Linked DNA regions of Arabidopsis thaliana. The protein of the gene in region 4 interacts with the protein of the main gene of each other region in a pairwise test. Each region holds a gene or a part of one and is shown on either strand. Other genes may lie near its edges.

Evidence for each region.
Region 1: the proteins of OZS1 (region 4) and CPK21 interact in a protein complementation assay, tested with the Arabidopsis thaliana proteins (one study listed by BioGRID).
Region 2: the proteins of OZS1 (region 4) and CDPK6 interact in a protein complementation assay, tested with the Arabidopsis thaliana proteins (one study listed by BioGRID).
Region 3: the proteins of OZS1 (region 4) and CPK6 interact in a protein complementation assay, tested with the Arabidopsis thaliana proteins (one study listed by BioGRID).

Annotation. Positions count from the first base shown.
Region 1 is NC_003075.7:2,393,133-2,399,449, forward strand, and holds CPK21 (calcium-dependent protein kinase 21), read right to left. Parts: upstream 4,628-6,317; 5' UTR 4,500-4,627; coding exon 3,797-4,499; intron 3,343-3,796; coding exon 3,199-3,342; intron 3,118-3,198; coding exon 2,965-3,117; intron 2,733-2,964; coding exon 2,620-2,732; intron 2,462-2,619; coding exon 2,294-2,461; intron 2,211-2,293; coding exon 2,083-2,210; intron 1,954-2,082; coding exon 1,854-1,953; intron 1,772-1,853; coding exon 1,685-1,771; 3' UTR 1,599-1,684; exon of another isoform or gene 1,265-1,598; intron 788-1,264; 3' UTR 521-787; downstream 1-520. UniProt on the Arabidopsis thaliana protein: May play a role in signal transduction pathways that involve calcium as a second messenger. Mediates the phosphorylation and activation of the S-type anion efflux channel SLAC1.
Region 2 is NC_003075.7:12,324,212-12,329,641, forward strand, and holds CDPK6 (calcium-dependent protein kinase 6), read right to left. Parts: upstream 3,441-5,430; 5' UTR 3,205-3,440; coding exon 2,795-3,204; intron 2,551-2,794; coding exon 2,264-2,550; intron 2,185-2,263; coding exon 2,041-2,184; intron 1,950-2,040; coding exon 1,797-1,949; intron 1,707-1,796; coding exon 1,591-1,706; intron 1,490-1,590; coding exon 1,322-1,489; intron 1,254-1,321; coding exon 1,126-1,253; intron 1,039-1,125; coding exon 939-1,038; intron 840-938; coding exon 756-839; 3' UTR 547-755; downstream 1-546. Other genes in the region: TRH1 (Potassium transporter family protein), read right to left, coding at 78-80; PPT1 (polyprenyltransferase 1), read right to left, coding at 3,875-3,944, 4,038-4,134, 4,226-4,361, 4,651-4,716, 4,825-4,974, 5,061-5,130, 5,320-5,430. UniProt on the Arabidopsis thaliana protein: May play a role in signal transduction pathways that involve calcium as a second messenger. Functions in abscisic acid (ABA) regulation of guard cell S-type anion- and Ca(2+)-permeable channels and stomatal closure.
Region 3 is NC_003071.7:7,514,395-7,520,163, reverse strand, and holds CPK6 (Calcium-dependent protein kinase family protein), read right to left. Parts: upstream 3,835-5,769; 5' UTR 3,508-3,834; exon of another isoform or gene 3,309-3,507; intron 3,221-3,308; 5' UTR 3,160-3,220; coding exon 2,442-3,159; intron 2,286-2,441; coding exon 2,142-2,285; intron 2,050-2,141; coding exon 1,897-2,049; intron 1,805-1,896; coding exon 1,689-1,804; intron 1,597-1,688; coding exon 1,429-1,596; intron 1,343-1,428; coding exon 1,118-1,342; intron 1,036-1,117; coding exon 925-1,035; 3' UTR 502-924; downstream 1-501. Other genes in the region: AT2G17280 (Phosphoglycerate mutase family protein), read right to left, coding at 5,320-5,398, 5,486-5,530, 5,625-5,744. UniProt on the Arabidopsis thaliana protein: May play a role in signal transduction pathways that involve calcium as a second messenger. Functions in abscisic acid (ABA) regulation of guard cell S-type anion- and Ca(2+)-permeable channels and stomatal closure. Phosphorylates FD.
Region 4 is NC_003070.9:4,256,768-4,261,096, forward strand, and holds OZS1 (C4-dicarboxylate transporter/malic acid transport protein), read right to left. Parts: upstream 2,534-4,329; 5' UTR 2,483-2,533; coding exon 1,976-2,482; intron 1,901-1,975; coding exon 1,089-1,900; intron 1,012-1,088; coding exon 660-1,011; 3' UTR 501-659; downstream 1-500. Other genes in the region: AT1G12470 (zinc ion binding protein), read left to right, coding at 59-175, 258-434; AT1G12490 (F-box associated ubiquitination effector family protein), read left to right, coding at 4,016-4,170, 4,199-4,329. UniProt on the Arabidopsis thaliana protein: Slow, weak voltage-dependent S-type anion efflux channel involved in maintenance of anion homeostasis.

The DNA.
Region 1 (6,317 bases), on a different chromosome or scaffold from region 4:
TTTCGCGCCAAATTATCCGCTTTTACATTTGCATTACGAAAAATGTTCTTTTGGTCTTTTAAATTCGTTTTTGGTCTTTAAATATTCAAAATTTATGTTGGTAAGTTTACTAAGTCCTCCAAGACTTTATTAGACGACTTTTGTGTATAAAACCGAAAGTATAAAATGTAGGAATTATGAGCTGGAATTTGAGTTGTATACTTGTATTAATAAAATACTGACTTGGTCTTTAAATATTCAAATTTATAGTATTGGTCATTGGTTGTTTAACTTGTTTTTGTCAACGTTAATATTGGTCCTTAAAATAATTTCATTTTGTCGTTTAATCTAATTGGTGTGTTTTTCTTGCTTCTTTATTTATTAGTACTGTAATTTATTCTTTAATTGACAGATTGATCTTAAAAATGCTTCTTTCGTGCATCCCACGTATATTGAACATCCAGATTTATAATTACAAACAGATAACCAAACAAATAAATTAAATAATAAACTCTTGAAAATATCTTAAAATCTTTATAGGCTAAATGATACAAAGCGTGTGACGTTCATAGACTGATACTACTAGCTAAAGGCCCTATATCTCTGAGAGGCGAGACCGACACCAGGTTAGATTCATCTCTTTTGGGAGATGGACCCACACCAGGTTAAATACATCTTCTTTGGATAAGAGATCTCTCTCAATATACCTCGAACCCAGCACCTCTACATAAAAAATTTAACACTGGGCCAACAGCTCGTTGGTCTCCACTCGCTCTTTTTGTATTTGAGAATAACTTTTTAGCTCTTCCTAGAAACAAAGACAACCAAAGTGATAAATACGAATCACCAAAGAACCAAGGAAGAAATGTGCGCAACATGAAGTCACTAAGCTTGAGAAAATCGAATCTGACATGAAGCAGAATGTGTCTCAAGGAGTTGAAACATATAAAAAGATTCAATCAGTGCTTGAGCAGATTATTGGGAGTAGAAGTCACATTGGATTTAGTAACAGTGATGCAACAGCAAAATGTTTTTCTTTTGCGCCTGAGAACAAGCTACATTATTCGAGGGCAAGAGTATTGATAAGCTAGGAGGCACGTGTGGTAGCTCAAAAGGATTCGTTGAGGCTCGTGAATAAGCAAAGAGAAGCAGAGAAGGCACGTGAAACAGAGTTAAAACAGAGCAAGAAGAAACAGATTGTGTAACCAATTGAGAGTTGTATATAAATAGATAGAAGAGTATTGAAAAAGTTATGCATTAATGCATGTATAGATGTGTGTGTAACAAACTTATCGTTTGCTAGAGAAGAGTTAAGAAATCTCTTGAACAAATCTCCATTGTTAGAGTTCTTGAGTTTGTATCTTGGATTGAGAAGTGATAAGAGAGATTCCTAAGGAACTATTACTAGCAAAAGATTACACTTAAAGCTCATAAGGATTAAGAAAGTTCTCAAGAAAGTTTCAAAAAAATATAAGTGGATATGTTACTGTTACAAGGAGCTAAGACATGACAGTCTCTCAAAATCAGTTTCAGACTAACTAAGGAGAAGGATAAATAAATCTGTTCAAACACAGAGAAGATAGAACAACATTTTGAGACAGTATATCAACTATGCTCACCTCGGTTTACCCCCGGTTTAGCTCTTCTACTCTGGGTTCAAGAATCGCTTTCGGTTGATAAACCGTTGGGATTTATGCCGACTTGATCAATGGAATGGAAGCAGTTTCCCCTGTGGCTGCGTGCTGCCACTTCTCATCATCGCGCAAAATTCTTCAAAGTTTATTCTTCCATCCTGTAACATAGTTCATTACAAGGTTTCAAGAACCAGTTTAATGTTTGAGATGTTGGCTTATATGTTAGAGAGTGCAACTTACATTGTCGGTATCAACTTCGGATATAACTTCTTTGATGCTAGCTTCATCTCCCATTCCATATTCCTTCATGGCACTTTCCAACTCATCTCTAGTTATGTGCCTGTTGTATAACCAAGCCATTATTAACATTGGTGCATGATAATAGTTGTACACATCTGATACTTAGTCTCCATGACACAAGAAATGAACAATGGAGACTAATTCATAAACTGAAAATGGAAAAACTTACCCGCTGTTGTCTTTATCAAAGTGTTGGAATGCTTTGTATACATGCTCATCTCGATCTAATTTGTATCTATGCATTGTCGCAGAGATAAACTCGTAGTAGTCGATTGTTCCATTACCATCGACGTCAGCCTGAAACGTTATCATCATGTGTTTCAAGCTTTTTCAAAACCTTAACAGTGGAAAGTGAAGCCAAGATGCTGAAGATAACTTACGGCTTCCATGAGTTGCTTAACTTCAGTTTCCGAGAGTCTAGACCCAAGTCTAGTTAGCCCAGTTTTGAGTTCTTCATAAGTGATTGTCCCGCTTTTGTCGGTATCTATATTCGCAAACATGGTTTTAAGACCTTTAATCTCCTCTTCTGATAGACTCTCCGCGATAACCTGAAAACAGAATACACAAATTACAACCAAAATTTCAGGCACCAGTAGATATGAGGCATTGCAATATGGAGCATAGAGAGATTGCAAGTGGATAATTGAAATGCAAAATTAGTAATAAAGAAAGATAATTTCATAAAAAATTTCAGCCACTTCTTTACCTTTAGAGCTAGCTTCTTAAGCTTGTTCATTGCTCGGAATTGCTTCATGCGGGATAACACAGCGCTATCAATAGGCTTGTCTGGTGCTTCTCCCCCTTTGATCCAAGGATGTTCTATAAACCATAAGGATGGCTACATATTAGTAAAGCATTACTAGTTAGACGACCATAAACTCAAAGACAAGAACAAGATCAGACTTCAACATTCACTAGAGTCTATTTAGACCTAGAGGTCCTATACAATGGACTGACTATCTTGTTCTGGCTTTGAGCCTCTAAAATATGTAATCACGCATTCTATACAAACAGGAGTGGGAAAAAAATACTGGTATTCACATTGTCTTACCAAGAACCTGTGCAGCCGTGATTCGTCTCTTCGGGTCTTTGGTTAGCATCTTCCTAACAAGATCTTTCGCGCTTTCAGATATAGAAGGCCATGGCTCACTTACAAAATCAATTTCGCCTTTTATGACCTCATCGAATATTCCTTTCTCATTTTCTAAAATATAACATATGAATATAGATCACACCTCAAGAAGAAAACAAATCAATGAATTTGGTTAGCTTAAAGGTCTTTTACCGGCCCAAAAAGGAGGTACACCGCTGAGTAGGATGTATAAAATGACACCTGCACTCCAAATGTCGATTTCTTTTCCGTAACTTCGCCTTAATACTTCTGGAGCAACGTAGTAAGCACTCCCAACTATATCCCGGTAAACTTTTCCTGCATTTGTTGGTTTCACAGACATATCATGAAGCATATTAACATAAGAATCAAACTAATGAAAATTACATACTTGACAATATCATAAAGATGTGTACAAAAGACAAGATAAACTCGATTCTCGGTACTAAAGTGTCTTGAGTCTCATCCCTATGCATTGGAACATAAGACAACAATCTAGCTCATGATCAACGGAAAAAAAAAGTGCAGATCTTAAATACCAAAGAATATGATCAATCTTCAATGAACAGAGAAAACACAAAATCAATTGTTTTGACCATGACACTCTCACTGTTACTCGAAAACAAGAAGTACTCAAGCTAGAGATCACAATGCAATGAACTACCAAACTCTTAATCTTTGACACTAAAGAGACTAGACAAGCTTATAGATTCCAAACACTAACAATCCAAAACCAAAGACCAAAAAAGGCTATATTGAGTCTCTAGCTAACCTTCTTCGATGAAGACGGACAAACCGAAATCAGTAGCTTTAAGCATAGCATTCTCCTCTTTACTCGAAAGCAAGAAATTCTCAGGCTTGAGATCTCGATGAACCACACCCATAAAATGACAAATCTGAACAACATTGACAATAGACCTAATGATACCAGCAGCAGCTCTCTCAGAGTAATGACCTTGAGCTATAATCCTATCAAACAACTCACCACCAGCACACAACTCCATAACCAAATGTATAGATTGTCTATCTTCATAAGCACCTTTGATCTCAACAATGTTAGGTTGTCCAGACAAATACTGCATTATCTGAATCTCTCTCTTCACATCTTCTTTATCTTGCTTACTAATTAGCTTCCTCTTAAGAATCGATTTGCAAGCATAAGTGTTACCAGTACCAATCTCTTTACACATATACGTAATCCCAAATTGACCTCGACCTAATTCTTTCCCCAAGCTGTAAAATTTCCTGATGTCTTCGAATGGTTTACCTAAAATCGTATCTGGATCTCGAACTGAGACTGGATTTGAAGACGGTGTTGAAATCTGCTGATGGATTGGTTGAGTCATGGGTTTTGGTGTTGGGGTTTGAGGTTTACGATGCTCGGGGACTACATGGGTTTGAACTGGATTGATCGGGATTGATTTTTCTCCGCCGTCGTTTTGAGTTTTCCGGTGTTTACTGCTGAAGCAACCCATTAGTAAAGGAGGAGACTTTCGTTATTGGGTAGAAGAAAAAGATGAGCTTGAAGGATGATTGGAAGAGAGAAACCAAAATCGGAAGAATAATTGAGTTGTGAAGGTTTTGTTTGACTGGAATTGGAATTATCTATCAGTCGCGTCAATTTCTGAGTGTAATAGATAGAACTGTTTAAGTAAATTGTCTTTTGTCTTTGTCAATTTGCTGAAAATAAAATATCCACAATAAATTAATTATATTTAAAATAAATTAAATTTGACTTACATTTTTCAAAGGAATTTTATGGTAAAAAAATTTCGAATATTTGTTCTGGAACGGAAAAATTCCTTGTTTTATTGGACGGGTACAGAATATTCCATTTATAATTAGAAAAGTATTGAATTTCGAACTGTCAAGTGTCAATATTATTTTTAATTTCAAAAAAAAAATAGTGTCAATATTACTTTGATATATTTTTCCATTACAGCTGATATAAAAAAAAGGTTAATGATAAAAAATAACCATAAAATTAAACAAAATTAAAAAAATAATTTTTTGTCAGAAAATTTAGATAAATAACATTTTTTAAAGTAGAATAAATACTAAAAAATATCTTTCTATTTTCTTGTTTCTACAATAATGCCAGTGATAATAAATCAGAGTTGATTAACATCTGAATAAAAAACATGAATTATTTACAGACAACATAGTATCTAAATGAATTAATATTTTATTAAAACAATACATGACAATTATAAAAGGAACATGCATTATTCAGAAGAAATACATCTTATTGTTCGGATAGGTATGAATAATATTACAGTAGAGAACATGAAATATTTAAAAGGTGTAGATCTTTTATATAATACCATGTATTTTTAGAAAATGCATGTCTAATATAAAATGAACATGCATTATTCAAAAGAAACATATCTTATTGTTTGGATGGGTAGGAATAAGATACGTGATTACAATAGAGGACATGAATTATTTAAAAAGTGCAGATCATGTCAAATAAATACACTGCTTTTAGACAAAATACATGCCTAATATAAAAGTAACATGATATATGAAATGATAACATAACATTGAAAGAAAATCTTAAACTTTTGAGGGTGAAAGCAAATCTCAGATTCTAAAAAGAAACGATATCGGAAATAGGTAAATCCTATATAGACCAAATAAATGGAAGAGCTCAATGGTTGAACCACCAAATTGATGAAAACCAACACCGTGAACGGCTATAGTCAAATGATTTACTAGAGCTTGTGGTGGTTATTGTGATGGAGATGGTTATGGAGAAGGTGATGATGGTTTCGGAGAAATAAAAAATTAATGTACGGTTTGGTTTAGTTAGGGTAAAAGTGTCATAAATGAGGTGTAAAAGTTATTTTCTCTCTCATACTTTTTATCTATGGTTATTCTCTTTATTCTTTTGTTGTCAAAGGTTAGTTAGTATATATACTCTAAAAAAATAGTATCGATCTCTTTAATTCGCCGCTACGAAGGCTTTGATTGGGCCTTGTATAATATTGAATTTTCCTTTGCGATGATGACTAGAAGTTGTTGATTACTCATGAGAGAAAGATAAGTTTGTTTTTTCTTGGGATAATGAGAGCTATTTACAATGTTATTTAAAGCCATGAAAAAACAAATTTAAATAAAAGATATGATTTGAACTTAATTTTGTTGTGTTGCCACTTCTTAAGTTTGATAAGCTAGTAAGTGTGATAAGCTAGTGAGTTTGATAAACTAGTAAACTCTAAATATATTATGAGTTTGATAAGCTAGTATGCTCTATATATATATATATAGTTGTGCAAAAACTTATTATAAGT
Region 2 (5,430 bases), on a different chromosome or scaffold from region 4:
ATTCCGCAGGAGTAGCAATAAGGAATCTAGGGGTTTAAGATTTCCGACGTATCGGTCGAGAGAAGGGAGCGACATACCATGATTCAAGCCGCCGGCGAGTAAGATGCGGCGTAGCTTGGATCTTCAACGATCAGAGATTACACGCCGGAGACTAGTTCTTTGGAATCGGAATCGAATCTAGAGAAAAACGATCAACGATCATTTGTTGTTTTTATTATCGAGAGAAGAAAAATTTAACAAATTCGATCCAAAGCTCGCGGTCCTTCTTCTTCTTCCAGTTTTTTTTTTATATATATCTCAGTTGATTTTTTATTCGTTCTTTTAATTTTTTTTACTCATTTTAGTTGTCCGATTTCTCTGTGAGAAAATGTCACCAAGATTATTAGATTTCGTCATTTTTCATGTATAAAAATCGGATTTGAAACTTCTAATCCCTCCTACTGCACCTTGCTTATTTTTTTATTGCCTTGATTAGATATAATCTCAAATTTGTTTGTAAGGGTTAAGATTATCATTCTATAATTTTTTAAGTGAATTTCAGCTTCAAATCATGCAAGAATCAACCTGTAATTATTATATATTGAATCTCTCATAAGTCATTAACCAAACCTGCAAATGGCTTTCTGATCTCAAAGTATTTTTTATGTTGTGTTGATAAAAAGAGATTGCAGGAAACAAAATAATTGATTGTAACAGAAACACAAAGTTTGAGTAAAGTGATAACCAAAAACAAACAAACAACATCAAAAGATCTCTCACATTCTGCGTCGGTTTGGCACCAATTCTGGATTTCCCTTCTTCATCATCGCTACAAATTCTTCGTAGTTGATTTTTCCGTCCTAAAGATTCGAATACAAAGATGAGAAGAGAGTGTTAAACTTACACGTATACTTACAGATGTATGAATTGGACGAAACCAGAGATTTACGTATACTTACACGATCGGTGTCTACTTCAGCAATGATCTCTTTGATGGATTTATCATCACCCATGTTGTATTTCTTCATGGCTAGCTCTAGCTCTTCCATTGTTATGTAGCTAATATCACAAATCAAGATCAAAGAGTGAGACTTTATTTATAGCTTGTTAAAGAAAGAAATAGAGAGCTAAAGAACAATGTTTTACCCGCTGTTGTCATTGTCAAAGAACTGGAATGCGGTGTACAAGTGATCCTCACGTTCGATTCTGTTCATATGCATTGTGGCTGATATAAACTCCAAGTAATCAATTGATCCATCTCCATCCATATCAGCCTAAAAGAAACAAAGCATCATAAGCATTATTGCTTTGACATCAAAGTAGTGGATTGTGATAGACTTACTGCTTCCATTAACTGCCTTATTTCAGCTTCAGAGATCTTTGAACCAAGTTTTGGGAGACCGGTTCTCAATTCCTCCAAGGTGACTATTCCATTGTTATCAGTGTCTAGAGATTTGAACATCTCTTTAAGACCAATGATTTCTTCTTCAGAAAGGTTCTCAGCGATAACCTGAAATTGCAAAACGAAAACCAAAGATTGGCTTTAGAACAAGAAGACTACATAAACTACAATAGTGATGGTAAGACTGTTTCAATCAGTGTTTTAATTACCTTCAGGGCCATTTTTTTTAGTTTGTTCATCGCCCGGAATTGTTTCATCCTGGATAACACCGCATTGTCAAGCGGTTTGTCTGATGCCTCCCCATCTTCTCTAATCCACGGATGATCTGCGTATGTATCAAAACGTTATTAAAATTGGATAAAAGAAGGTGTTTTCATCAATTTATTCATCAAAACATGTTATAAAGGGGTCTTACTTAGCACTTCCGCAGCTGTAAGCCGATCTTTAGGGTCATATTTTAACATTTTCCTCACAAGATCTTTGGCACCATCTGATAGTGCTGGCCATGGATCAGCTGAAAAATCAAGTTGCCCTTGAAGAATGGCATCAAAGATCCCCGTTTCATTTTCTGCACAACAGAAAGAACGTGACTATACATTCCAGTCCAACATTTAAACAGTGAAACCAAATTCTCTTCTCAAATAAGATCAAGACAATACCTCCCCAGAAAGGCGGAACACCACTGAGAAGGATGTATAGAATCACACCAGCACTCCAGATATCAGCCTCTGGTCCATAGTTCCGTTTTAGAACTTCTGGGGCAACATAGTATGCACTTCCAACAAGATCCTTAAACTTATCACCTGCATTAATGGATCAACTTCATTAGAGGGATAAATTGTCTATAGAAATCAAATAGGGAAGGATAGAGGCTGTTCAAACCTGGCTTGAAGAAGACAGAGAGACCAAAGTCTGTAGCTTTCAATGGTGAGTTCTCATCTTTACTAAGAAAGAGAAAGTTTTCGGGCTTCAAGTCTCGGTGCATTACACCCATAGAATGACAACTATGCACAACCATCACCATCTGCCTACACAAATCCGCAGCAGCTCTCTCTGAGTAAAGACCTTTAGAAATGATCCTATCGAACAATTCCCCTCCTTCACACAACTCCATTATCAGATTCACAGAGTGTCTGTCCTCGTAGGCTCCCTTCAAGTCCACTATGTTCCTATAATCAACTCACCAATTTGAAACTCAGGTAAATATAAATATGCAAAAAGGGAAACTTTTTCAAGAGTTTAACATAGGACCACCAAACTTTTCATCCACATATGATGCAAACCATTCATTAATATAGAAAACGAATCCTATGTCTAAATATTCACCAATATTCCAACAAAAGGCGTTTCAGATTCGATTTCGGAAAATGTCAAAGAAGCATTTTCCAGTGAGATACAAAAAAAGAGATTTACCGGTGACCGCTGAGATGGTGCATAATCTGGACTTCACGGCGAACATCTTCAATGTCGTCTTTGTGAACAAGGCGGCGCGTAGGGATTGACTTGCAAGCGACCTGTTGTTTCGTCTCTTTGTGAGTTACGAGGTACGTGACACCAAACTGGCCACGACCAAGCTCACGACCAAACTCATAGGTTCTCCGTACTTCCTCCATCGGCCGACCTAAGATCCGACCATTCTGCTGAGTAGATGTGGTGGAACGAGATCCGCCTGTTCCGGAGCCTGACGATCCGACGGTTCCGGAACCGGATGATCCGCGGCGTTCTCCGGCAGGTTTAACATGGTGGACTACGTTGCCGGAGGAAGAGGAGGAGGAGGACGGTGGCGGATCGGAGGATTTGGACTTGCTGTGTCTGTGGCCCATTGTCAAAAGCTTTCTCTCAGTCAATAAAGTCAATCGAGAGAGAAAGATTGTATCTCCGATTCTTATGGCTTTTTAATGTCTGAGATCAGACACGATGACCACGTGGCGTGTTTTTATTGGTACGTAGTTGAACCGCGTATAAACAAAAGTATTTGTCCCATTGGAAGATAAATTAGTGGATGTGGAAATCTTCTGCATATTAGTTGTTTCCACTTCTCCAATCAATCACACGGCTAATTCAATGTTAATCTTTTGCAATTTGAGATTGAAAAAGGAAAAGTTATTAACATCCTTTAGGTTACAAAATCAATGATATTGCGTATGTCAACTATAAAAGCCAAAAGTAAAGCCTCTTGTTTGACCAGAAGGTCATGATCATTGTATACATACAGCCAAACTACCTCCTGGAAGAAAAGACATGGATCCCAAACAACAACAATAGCTTCTTTTACAAGAACCAGTAGTAACTAGTCACTAATCTAAAAGAGTTAAGTTTCAGCTTTTCTGGCAATGGCTCCTTGATCATTTCAATCCTGAAGGAGACCCACTTTGTAGCAAGACCATGTCCTCTGTTTCACTTACAGTGTGTCTCAAAAGTCTACTTCAATTCTTCATATATAGGTTCCTCACACTACAGCTTCATCCTCATTCGTTGACAGAGAGAGAGTCTTTATTGAAAACTTCTTCCAAGTACAACTCCACTAAATATAATAGCACCAAACCACTTGTTCGACACAAATCTGTACAGATATAAAAACACTATTAGGTTTTCCAAGGCAAATCACATAATTGGATTGTGAAAGAGTACAAAAGATAAACCCAAATTTTCATACTTTCTACTGCAGTCAGCACCAGATGATAAGTCAGCTGTCCCTATTTGCCATCCTAACTGTCCTGATGCAGCGGCCAGTGATGCGTAATATTGCCACCCTTAATCATTAGAGCGAGAAACAAAAAGAATCAAAAGACAGTAAATGGAATTAGGAATCACAAATGAGTCCTTGTAAAGTTTATTGAGTACCGAGATCTGCACTGAATCCAGAAAGTGCAAGAAAACCTATGGATGCTGTGCCAAATCCAGTTAACCAAAGCTTTGTATTATCACCGAATCTAAGGGCTGTTGACTTAACACCAACTTTTACATCATCTTCTTTGTCCTGGAGACACAATATATTAGACATTAGTCCATGGAAAAAAAATGATTTAACCTAGAATATCTCAAAATTACTTGCATAAAAACTGAACTTGAGCTGAAATTTTGGGTTCGTAGCTTGTGGCATATACTATTTCATTTTCAATGGGCCACAAAGGTAACTTTCTTTTCTCACTTCTGTTGCAAACGGGAAGACTTTTATGGGGCTAACTCTTCACTTAAAGTATAGAAATCAGATGGAAAAGGTGGGAGATCAGGGTAATTTTCTTCTTTATGATTGACAAAAGTCGAACATCGAAATGGATGCATTTGCATGAGACATGAAACAAAAGCTGAAAAAGAAATCTGTGGTGGTGAAGCTAGAAAAAGAAAACAAAGCAAGCAATATGCACACATTGAGATTAACTACTTTGCTACTGGTCATAATCAAATAGATTTTGAAGCTAAAAAATAAAAAGTGAATATACCTGATGTGCATAAATAGTATCATAAACAAGGGTCCAGCAGACTCCGGAGAGATAGAGAGGGAGTACAATAGATGGTGCTATGCTTCCTTTAACTGCAGTCCATCCTAACAATGCTCCCCAGTTTATGGTCAAACCTAAAAAGGCTTGAGGCTGCAATTATAAAAACGAATCAATCATAAGAAAATCAGAAAATATATAATGTCTAACTTTGAGAAGCCAGAATAGATTTAAATTACCCAAAATGTAAACCTCTTCATAAGTGGGTAGGAAAAGACAAGTAACAAAGATGAAGCCCCTAAAACACGGCTGCAGAATATACATACTGAAATGAGCTCAAGTAGAAAAGAATTTGATCACAAAACTAAAGACAAGACCTGAGAACATATCTTCAGAATTTGGGCCAACTACATAAGGGTGAACCATATGTGTATGTGAATTTTTAAACAAACACTTGCAAATACGCGACTTTAGGGCAAGTAAAAAATCCAAACAAACCTGTAATTGTTAAGTTGGAGAAGAATCCCTAAGCCTAAAAGCAACTGCAGCCCGAGAAATCCAATCCCTTGAAATGGTGTCAAAAGACCACTGGCGATAGGTCTTAGTTTT
Region 3 (5,769 bases), on a different chromosome or scaffold from region 4:
TAACTCACTGCATGTGGTGTGAAATGTATATACATTAATACATACGAACATACGATGCATATATATAAATAAGTGGGAGCACATGGTTTCCCTGTCATGTTCCAATCCACCACATTGGGACCAATGTATGATTGATTGTTTCGAACAACCTTAAGTTTGGTTCTAAGACATCACTTTGATTACATGATTGAGACTTAGTAGCTATCATCATACAGTATTCCACATTTTACATCAATTATTGCTCTTTTATTACATAAATTTTTGTGTATATACACACACTCATGTGTTCATATGTACATACATGTTTATGTACTTACAGATTCAGATGTAATTAGAGAAAGAAATTAGTGGACAGAAACTTGTAACATAGTAGTTGACTAGTTGTATTAATGTTGTCGCTATGACTCCAATTTGGAAGTATGCATGTGAGAAAAGACGACCAAAGCCGAGCTAAAAAGTTTAACAAACCAAAGTGAAGAGTATGCGTTTGTGTACTAACAACAGCAACAACAACTAAAAGGTGGAAGATTGTCACACAACTTGTATATCACATTTGTACTATATTGGAAGATGATTTGATCTTTCAAAAACCCAAAAAGGGTCAAAGCTTTCGACGATGGAGATGAAATAAAAACCAAACTTAAACAGTTGTTACAAACAAACAAAACAGAGAGAGAGAAAATAGAAATAGTCCTCACAGCTACTGATGAACAGAACTTAACACTTTTTTTTTATCTTTCACCATTTTTTAATCATACAGTAGTTTTTAACATTTTTAACTCAAACCTTCAACGATTTAGCTGGTTCGCTGCAGCTATGAATCTGGTTTCTCTTCCTCCTCTGTGATTAAACATTGCAAATGTTGATTCCATGGAAACATTTGCATCCTCACCGAATAGACGATTTAAAGATGTGTGTATGTGCCTACACATCTCTCATGCTGATGTTTAGACTATTTTTCATTGTTCTTCTCCCTACACCAGCATTTCCCTTTTGCATCATCGCAACAAATTCTTCGTAATCAATCCGTCCATCCTGTAAGAAACAAAAACCAAAACTTTATTAGCAAACACCAATGGTGAAGAGTGGAAGAATCATGTCAAGAGGCAAAGCTTACGTTGTCTTGATCTACTTCTTTGATTATGTCTTCAAGAAAAACATCGGTCATCCCATGTTCAATGCAAGATTGTTGCAGCTCATCAATGGTGATGTAACCACTTCCATCTTTGTCAAAGTACTGAAATGCAGAGACAAGATGCTCTTCTCTCTCTAGTTTATTCAGATGGATCGTCGCTGCAATAAACTCGCTGTAATCTATTGTACCGCTGTTGTCCACATCAGCCTAAGATACAACACAGAGAGTATGGTTATTGTCATCTATATAGCGAAATGAACTAGTGTGCATATCTCAAAAGGATGCATTGTTACCGCTTCCATAAGATCTCGGATCTCGGTGTCTTTCAAGGTTGATCCATATCTTCTCAAGCCAGCTTTGAGTTCATCAAAAGTGATTGCACCGCTGTTATCAGTATCCATTGCCTCAAACATTGCTCTTAAACCCGCAATCTCTTCTTCTGAGAGGCTCTCAGCTATCACCTGATCATTCCATAATCACTAATATGAGTAAACATATCTCAAACGAATGTGATGCAGAGACAATAGAAGATTGAGTATAACTACAAACTGACCTTTAAAGCCATCTTCTTTAATTTATTCATTGCAGAAAACTGTTTTAGACGAGACAAAACAGCCGGGTCAAGTGCTCTATCCGGTGCAACTCCATTCTCACAGATCCATGGATGACCTGAAAAAAAAAGAGATACATACAAGAGATATAGTCTAATGTTGTGTGGCTGCCAAATGTAACCATTTATTTAAGTGTAATTGATTACGTACGCAAGACTTCATGAGCAGTCAAACGTTCAGAAGGACTAGAGCATAACATCTTCCGGATCAGATCTTTAGCACTGTCGGATATGACAGGCCACGGGTCTGTATCAAAGTCAATATATCCCTTCAACACAGCATCAAATATTCCTTGCTGTGTTTCTGATTTCAAAAACACAAAACCAAACTTCAGGAAACCTTGTCAATGGCACTAATTAAGAGAACGCATTGAAACAGCTATATCGCCCGCATACCTGCCCAGAAAGGCGGGACACCACTTAGTAAGATATAGAGTATAACACCAGCAGTCCACACATCAGCTTCTGGACCATAATGTTTTAGAAGAACCTCAGGAGCAACATAGTATGGACTTCCAACAACATCCTTGAATATTTGGCCTGATATTAGAGTAAGACTACACATTATGCAAAGCTGAAACATTTACATTCCCTTACTCATTTGATGAATAGAAAGTCACAGTAATGTATACTACAAAACACATCATGGTACTTAAATAGATTCAGAACAATGAGAAACTCGCAACTAACGCTTACCTGGTTTGAAGAAAACAGAGAGACCAAAATCAATGGCCTTAAGAGAGAAATCATCATCCTTATTAACCAACAAGAAATTCTCAGGCTTTAAATCTCTATGCATAACACCAAGAGAATGACACGCCTCAACAACACCGACAATGATCTTGGTCAACTCAGCAGCTTTCCTCTCGCTGTAATGACCTCTATGAATAATCCTATCAAACAACTCACCACCAGCACAAAGCTCCATCACAATGTGAACATACAAAGGATCCTCATAAGCTCCTTTAATAGTAACAATATTCTTGTGACCAGCTAAATGATGCATAATCTGAATCTCCCTCCTAACATCCTCAACATCTTCTTTAGATATCAATTTCCTCTTGGATATAGACTTACAAGCATAGTCAACACCTGTGGCAATATCAGTACACAAATACGTTGTCCCGAATTGTCCTTGTCCTAACTTACGACTCAACGTGTAAAGATCACGAATGTTAGGAGTCTTGTGACCAAGAACATAGTAAGATTGATTGTCAACGTTACGCCGCATAATGGGTTCTTTAACAGGAATCACAAGAGCTGGATTGGTGTTCTGTTTGGAGAAATCTTGGTCTGTAGTAGGAGAATGAACAGAGGAAACAGTAGTGGTGGTGGATTTGGAATTCTCCTCGGGCCTACTATGATTGCCCTCGTAGATTTTGTCCTTAAAAGAACCACGACATGAATTGCCCATGAAACAAACTCTCTCTATTTCACAACTTTTTTCACTTTCTTCTTCTCCTCATCCAACGAAACTGTTTCATGAACAAACATACACAAAAAAAATCAGATAAAGAGAAGCCAAAAAAGTATCAAACTTTGGAACGAAATCAAAGAACCCACATCAGATCAAGCTTCAAAAAACATAATTGTTTTGTAACATAATCAAAGATTAAAGAAAAAAAGACAAGAGCTCCTGAAAAGTCGTAGCTTTAAATGTTCATCGATCATTATAGATCCCAAAAAAGAATCAAAGACACAACAATAAATGAAGAAATCATTTGGTAATAAAAGAAACATGAGAAAACAGAGGATCTAGTACCGGAATATAGCAGAACAGCGAGAAGACGATGAAATGGAGACGAAGAAGAAATGGGAAAAACTCAAAAAAGGATAATTATTCGTTGATAGTTTTTGTTTAAGTCAATAACAAAAGAGAAAAAATGGTTTCTTTGTTATGTTATTGTTTAATAGTATATATCTCTATATGTGTTGCTGTTTCTGGTTGGGTAATTGGATTCGTTGAATCATTAGAGAGTGTTAAAAAGATTGATTCTTTTGTGGATTTGTGAAATGATGAAGGAGAGAGGATGGTGCAAAGAAGAAAGGTCTTTTACGCGGTTTCGTCTCACCTTCTTCATTCCTTAATTGCTTGTTTAATTAGTATTAATTTAAGGGATCATCATCTTTTACTGGTGTAATGATACTTAGTGCAAGTAGGGAGAATAAAAAATTGCAATAATTTGTTTAGGATAACTTATTATTAAGAGAATGATTATAAGCCTAACGTTATACTAGCTTTTTTTAAGAGTTGGATGTGCTTAACTTAGCTAACTACAAAATATTATTATTAGATGCATATAGTTAAGAGTTAATTTATGGTCTTGATTAACAGATCGAAACAATGGACAACTAAATTTGTTCTGAAAACTCAAGTTTTATTATGTTGACTTTTCACATTGGTTCATCAAAGATGTCACATTCTTTTTTACTTTTGCTAGTATATAGGCTTTCTTGAATAAACATTTTGGTATGTCTACGTTGAAATAACAACTAGTACAGTATAAATCAAACTTTTAGCACTGAAAGTTTTGCATAATTTTACCAATAATTAGTGAAGTATATAGGATATCACTTTTTTCTTACAAGAACTAAGGCATGGGGCATGTCATTGTCGGGTAGTGAGTAAGATCGCAGACTACAATTTGTCTCGCACGTGGTACAAATTTAGTTTGGGTGTACTTTTTTTTTCTTTTTGACATCACAGTATTGTACTTACAGTTTTTTTATTTTCCAATAGATAACTTTACAAACCGTGAATCATATCATTTAAAAAAAAAAATCGTTCTCTTAAACGGATAAGAAGCTAGACCTACTTTAAATTTTACATTGTCGAGTGTTCTTTAAAAGATCTTATCATATGTTCAAAATTGGGGAACAAAAAATTTCGAATTCCTAATGGTAAAAGCTTTCTCCAATAGTTTGGAGAGAGCGTAATTTCTATAAAGAATCTGAATACGATTATCGATTATATTAAAGTCCAAATACATAGAACGTACGAAGAGCATTAAACTTTGATCTACTTCTATAAAAACACTTAAAACATTTTCTATTTTCATAAAAAATCTCAACACCAAAAGATAAAACCTAGTACTATAAGAAAAGCTGAGTGTAATTTTTGGAATTTTCTCTTTGTTTTATTAAAATGCTTGGCCATAAGAAAATTCAACACAGCTGCCATAAAATATGAAGTTGATCTTACATAAATAATGTTTTAAGTTTCTGCTGGTTCTCATGTTGATAGAGATAAATCTACTCATCTAAGATTCACACTTATAATTTAGTTGCATCTACCAGTTCCTCTACTTGTAATGCTATTATTTCCACAATTGTATAATCACAGCTAAAATGAGAATTGGAGCAGAAATATTAAAGCTACCGCTAAATTTTGGATAATAACAATCATACAATAAATTCATGTAGCAGCAGAGTCAACCTACATGGCTACATACCAACACTAATGTTCATCAAATAACTGAAAATGCCAGATTCTAGTCCAATGGAAACATCATGTAATTTATTTATTTTAGAAAGAAAAACTATCTCAGAATTCTCTCTCTTACTCTTCAGCCATTTAGCCACTAGGATTATCAAGTCCTTCAGGAACCTTCCCAGGATAGTTTGTGGTCTCTGCAGAGTCAGTCCCCAGGTTCCTACACACCCAACACCATAATAAATAATCCAACACACTCTCAAATTATATTTATATTCTGTCAAAACTTATTGTAATTATTGCTTACCCTCGATCCACGATAACCATTGAGCGAAGCTCACAGTTGCTCAAACTGAACAAAGTTAAAGATGTTGATTAGTTAAACAGTTTCAAGTTATACAAATTGTTGGTGCTTGTAGACATCAAGTTTTTGTTTAAGCTCTTACTGTATAGACAACTCTTTCTTTAGGTCATCGCAACAATCCTTCCCGAAAGAACTCAAGAGACCGTGCAAGAAGCCACTGTGAGATACAATTGCGATCTCCTTCTCTTTCCTTGTCCATATCCTTCACAAAGCAAATGGCAGTAGAG
Region 4 (4,329 bases):
AATATTTGTTCGTTATTGTGATTCCATTTTTTGATTGGTTTTCCCAAAATCTGTCTAGGCCGAGCATATACTCGATCTGCAGAAGCAACTGACATTGCTTGGAAGCGAAACCCGGAGGGATATAAATGGTAACCGATCTGATGAACCCATAACAAGCACAACAACTGCAGACAAGGTAGGGACATTTTCTTTTCCTTTTTTAATCTTTTCTTTAACATTTTTCTGTGACCTGACATATTTTCTTTACGGTGAGGCAGCTTCGATCAGAGCTAGATGATGCTATTGCCAGCGAATGCCCGTTCTGTGGAGAATTAATGATCAATGAGATCACTCTGCCTTTTATTAAACCTGAGGATTCACAGTATTCTACTTCATGGGACCTCCGATCAGAGACCAACTTAGCAAACCAGAGGACCATTTCTTTGCCTGTTTGATTCATGTCAAACCGTGAATTCTTTCTTGTGTGATCTCTTCTTCAGCTAGCTTTGAAATGTGAATGTGATTTTTGGGTTCTGTATTATTGATGTAGTATTACTATTAAACATGCTTCTGGAGATACATACAATATGCTATCTCACCTACTTTTGTCTCTATATCTAAGTGTTTTTCTGAACTATTATTTCGATCTAAAAGATACTTCTGTATTCCATGATTTTACATCAGTGATGCGACTCTTCCTCTGCTTCAAAATCTTTTTCTGCAGATATTTTCTTCGCCAGAGCCTGCTTGGTCCAGCGCTTCAAGTCATAAGCTCTTTTAAAAGGCTTCTTCTCCCTGGTAAGTTTCCTCTTTGTAATGGCAATTGCAAGATCGTTTGGGAACAACGTTTGCCAGACAAAGGCGTGGAGAAGCGTGGAGACAAACAAAACGCAGACCATCGCTGTGGAAATGAAGGAAAGAGTGAGTGCTAGAGCCCGGCTCGGGTAACCAGGTACTGCCTCTGCATACTTTATTGTTGCTACGGATGCTGTTGTCATAGGAAAAGTATATGACCACCACGCCACTGAGAACCTGCAAAACCCCGTAGCCACTTAGTATCATCAACATATATCTTCAACCAAGAATATTTAAACCCGAGATGGACTTACTTAAATCCAGTGAAGAAATTGATCCGAGCAACTAGGGATATGTATAGGAAGAGTGCAATGAAGAAGCAAGTTCTTGAACATCCGTCGAATTGGCCATATATCGTGTTCCAAGCAATACTTGCTGCTGATGGGGCAGCAATGAACATAGAGTAAACAGGATGAAGCTCTTTAGGAAGAGCTTCACTGGTGGGAAGTCTCTGATAAAGTGTTACAAACACAACCAAGTAATGTGCAAAACCTACTGCCCATAGAAACTTAGCTACTTCATCCCATCCAACTTTTGAAGCTAAGATGGCCCCGACGAAATTCCCTACAACAGAAAGATGAGAAGATGGGTTTGCGACTTTGCATAGTCGCCTCTTCCCTCCCGAAAGCCATTGCCCGTAGATCTTTAGCTCGAGGAAGAAATAAGGACCCATGAAAACACACCAAATGGCGGGATGGAGGTATTTTCGGTTTGGTGAGAACATGGGAGGTACGCTAATGGCTAGGAACATGCAAACCACCCAAGGAGCGAAGAAGAAGTTGACTCGAACAGGATGAAAATACTCTCTTTTGACAGCTTCAAAGTAGAAGATGCATTTGAGTATGTAAGTGAAGGACACAGAGACTAAAACTACCAGTGAAAATAGCCATACAACTAAGTTAATCAATGGTGTGATGTGTAAAAAGTTTGTTGCAGGACTTTTCGCTAGGGCAAGCCACAAGACAGCTTGACTGCTAAGTCCCAAACAGATACCGAAGCATCCAATTGGGAACCTTAGGAGAAACGGCCATTGCTCCTCTTTTGGAAGCAGAATATCTTCATTGTCCTGCAAGAGAGTACAATTGGAACTAACTGATAATTAAGTTTTGAAGAGAGAAAGAGAAAGAAGAAGAGTTGTTACCTTGACTTCATCCAATTCAGGTCCTCTAAGAGCAGCAAAGTATCTTCCTGCAGAAACATTTTCATTTATAGAATCATCTTTGGTCTCACCATCTTCAGTTCTTAAAGAATTCTCAATGTCTCTCTCCCTTATTATAGAAGGCAATAAAGACTTTTGTTTGCTGAGCGTTGATTTAGTCCTAAACATACTAAAATCTGTTTTCCGACCATCTCCACCGTTGATGATTCCACCTGATTCAAACCCGCCAAAGCTACGACCACTCCTCGGTAAACTCTTTTTGTCATCTCTTTCTCTAGATTCTCTGTTGAGCACTGAGAAACCTGTCTCTAGCGAAACCTGTCTGCTAAAACCTCTGAATGGTCTTTGTTTCCCTCGGTTTGGTCCTCTGTTTCCAGAGAATCTCTTGTTGTTGTTGTTCTCTTGCTGTTGCAGTTCTTGCTCTGCTTCATCTTCAACTTCATTGATGTCGGCGAAAGTGGAATGAGCATTTGACTGTTTCCTCTCCATTGATCAGAGCAATTTGATAATTTGAAACACAAGAGAAGATATTTTTCTTCTAGTATGGAAAGGAAACATGTTAATGTATATAGAAAGATGCAATGGACTAAGTTAAAAAAAGCAAAGTTTGTGGTTAAGGGGCACGAGAAAGCTTGGTGAATGGTGTGAGTTAATGCGTATGTGAACCAAAACTTTCCTGGAAAGTTTCTTAGGTTTCTCGTGAAAGCTTTTCGATCCAAACTACTTGGAAAAGGTGAGAGACGATGAAAAAAAAAAAAAAAAAAAGGCCGTTCCATTAGTCACGAGATTCAAATGCAACCAAAGTCAATTTGCTCTTTTCTATACAAAACATAATTTGAGTCGTTAATTCGATTTCTGTTAGCTCCTCTTGTTTGGTTAAAACTTATAAACTTAACATATAATACTAACATTTTGGAAAAAGGGGTCGAAAGATTAAAGCAACCAAACATATGTGCAGAAATATGAATGGCATATATTCTTCTTCTTTGTAAGAGATTTTTCTATGAATTTCGTTCCAAAATGCTTTACGTTTTCCCTTTATCCAAACAAAAAACTTTGATCAATGAACTCAAAATAATACAAAAGTGATATAATAAATCATCAAATAGCCTCGCATGGATTAGGAGTCATAGGACCATAAGACAAACTCACATAAGCCGTGATTATTTTCACAACTTCTTGAATAATATGATACAATCTATAATTTATAATTTATAATGTTTGTTTATGAATCAGGTTTAAAACAATATTCGGACTGTTGATTAATAAAAAATTACAAATATAAGCTAAGCTTGAGATCGAACCCTCACACATTGAAGGTAGATTGCCACAGAGATGACCACTATACCGCCACAAGTTTTGTAAGAGTAACGCCCCTAAGTTGTTCTAAACCTTGGCATTTATAGCCTGTAGTTTTTGTTTTTATAGTAAACAAAAAGTTGTAATGTAACCTTACTTCATATAGCTCTAACAATATATGAGTGTTGTGAAATGGGAATACTTATGGGATTAGATTGTTAACCATATATATAAGGTTTGAGATCATTAGGGTGTGTTTACAAAATCTATATTCTTGCAATACCTAATGTTTTCAAAACCCACAACATTAGTGAAGAATTATTGCATGAATCTCTTAGACTTGCAAAGTAGATTCTTATTTAGCGTTCGTGGCTTTTTGGTTCGACATTATTGGAAGCAACCGGAAAGCAGGCAGACCCAGTCAGAATAGTGGTGGGTCCCACGATGTGTCGAATAATATATATCTGATCCTGAAGACAAGATCATGACCGTCGGTTTAAAACACGTAATTGGGTTCCAAGGCTTTATGAAAACCCTAGAAGTAAAAGGGAAAACCGAAAAACAGAGAGATAGGGTTCAAAGCGGTTAGGAAGATCCTTTTTCCTTAAGGAAAAGGAAATCAAGGATAAAGAAGAATTATTCTTTTCCTGGTTATAAATAAGCAAGCCCCTGTTCAACAAAACAATCACAAAAAGAATGTCAAAAAAGCAACGCTGCTTGAGGATGGAATCGCTGCCCCACGAGGTCGTAGAGCGCATCCTAGAGAAGACTTGCTGTGGATTCTCTGCTGAGATTCACGGCTGTATCGAAACAATGGAAATCATCGATCGAATCTCCATTCTTCCAACAAAGACAATTGACACAGCGTCAGCAATCAGGTGATCCAGCTCTTCTCATGGTCTCCAGAAGTCGTGAGGATTATTTTAACCCGGATTTAAAACATCTAACTACACTGGTGTTGGGTTCATCATCATCGGTCACCATCCCTACACCTTGGGAGAAGGACAAGGAGAAGGAGAAGGAGAAGGAGAAGGAGG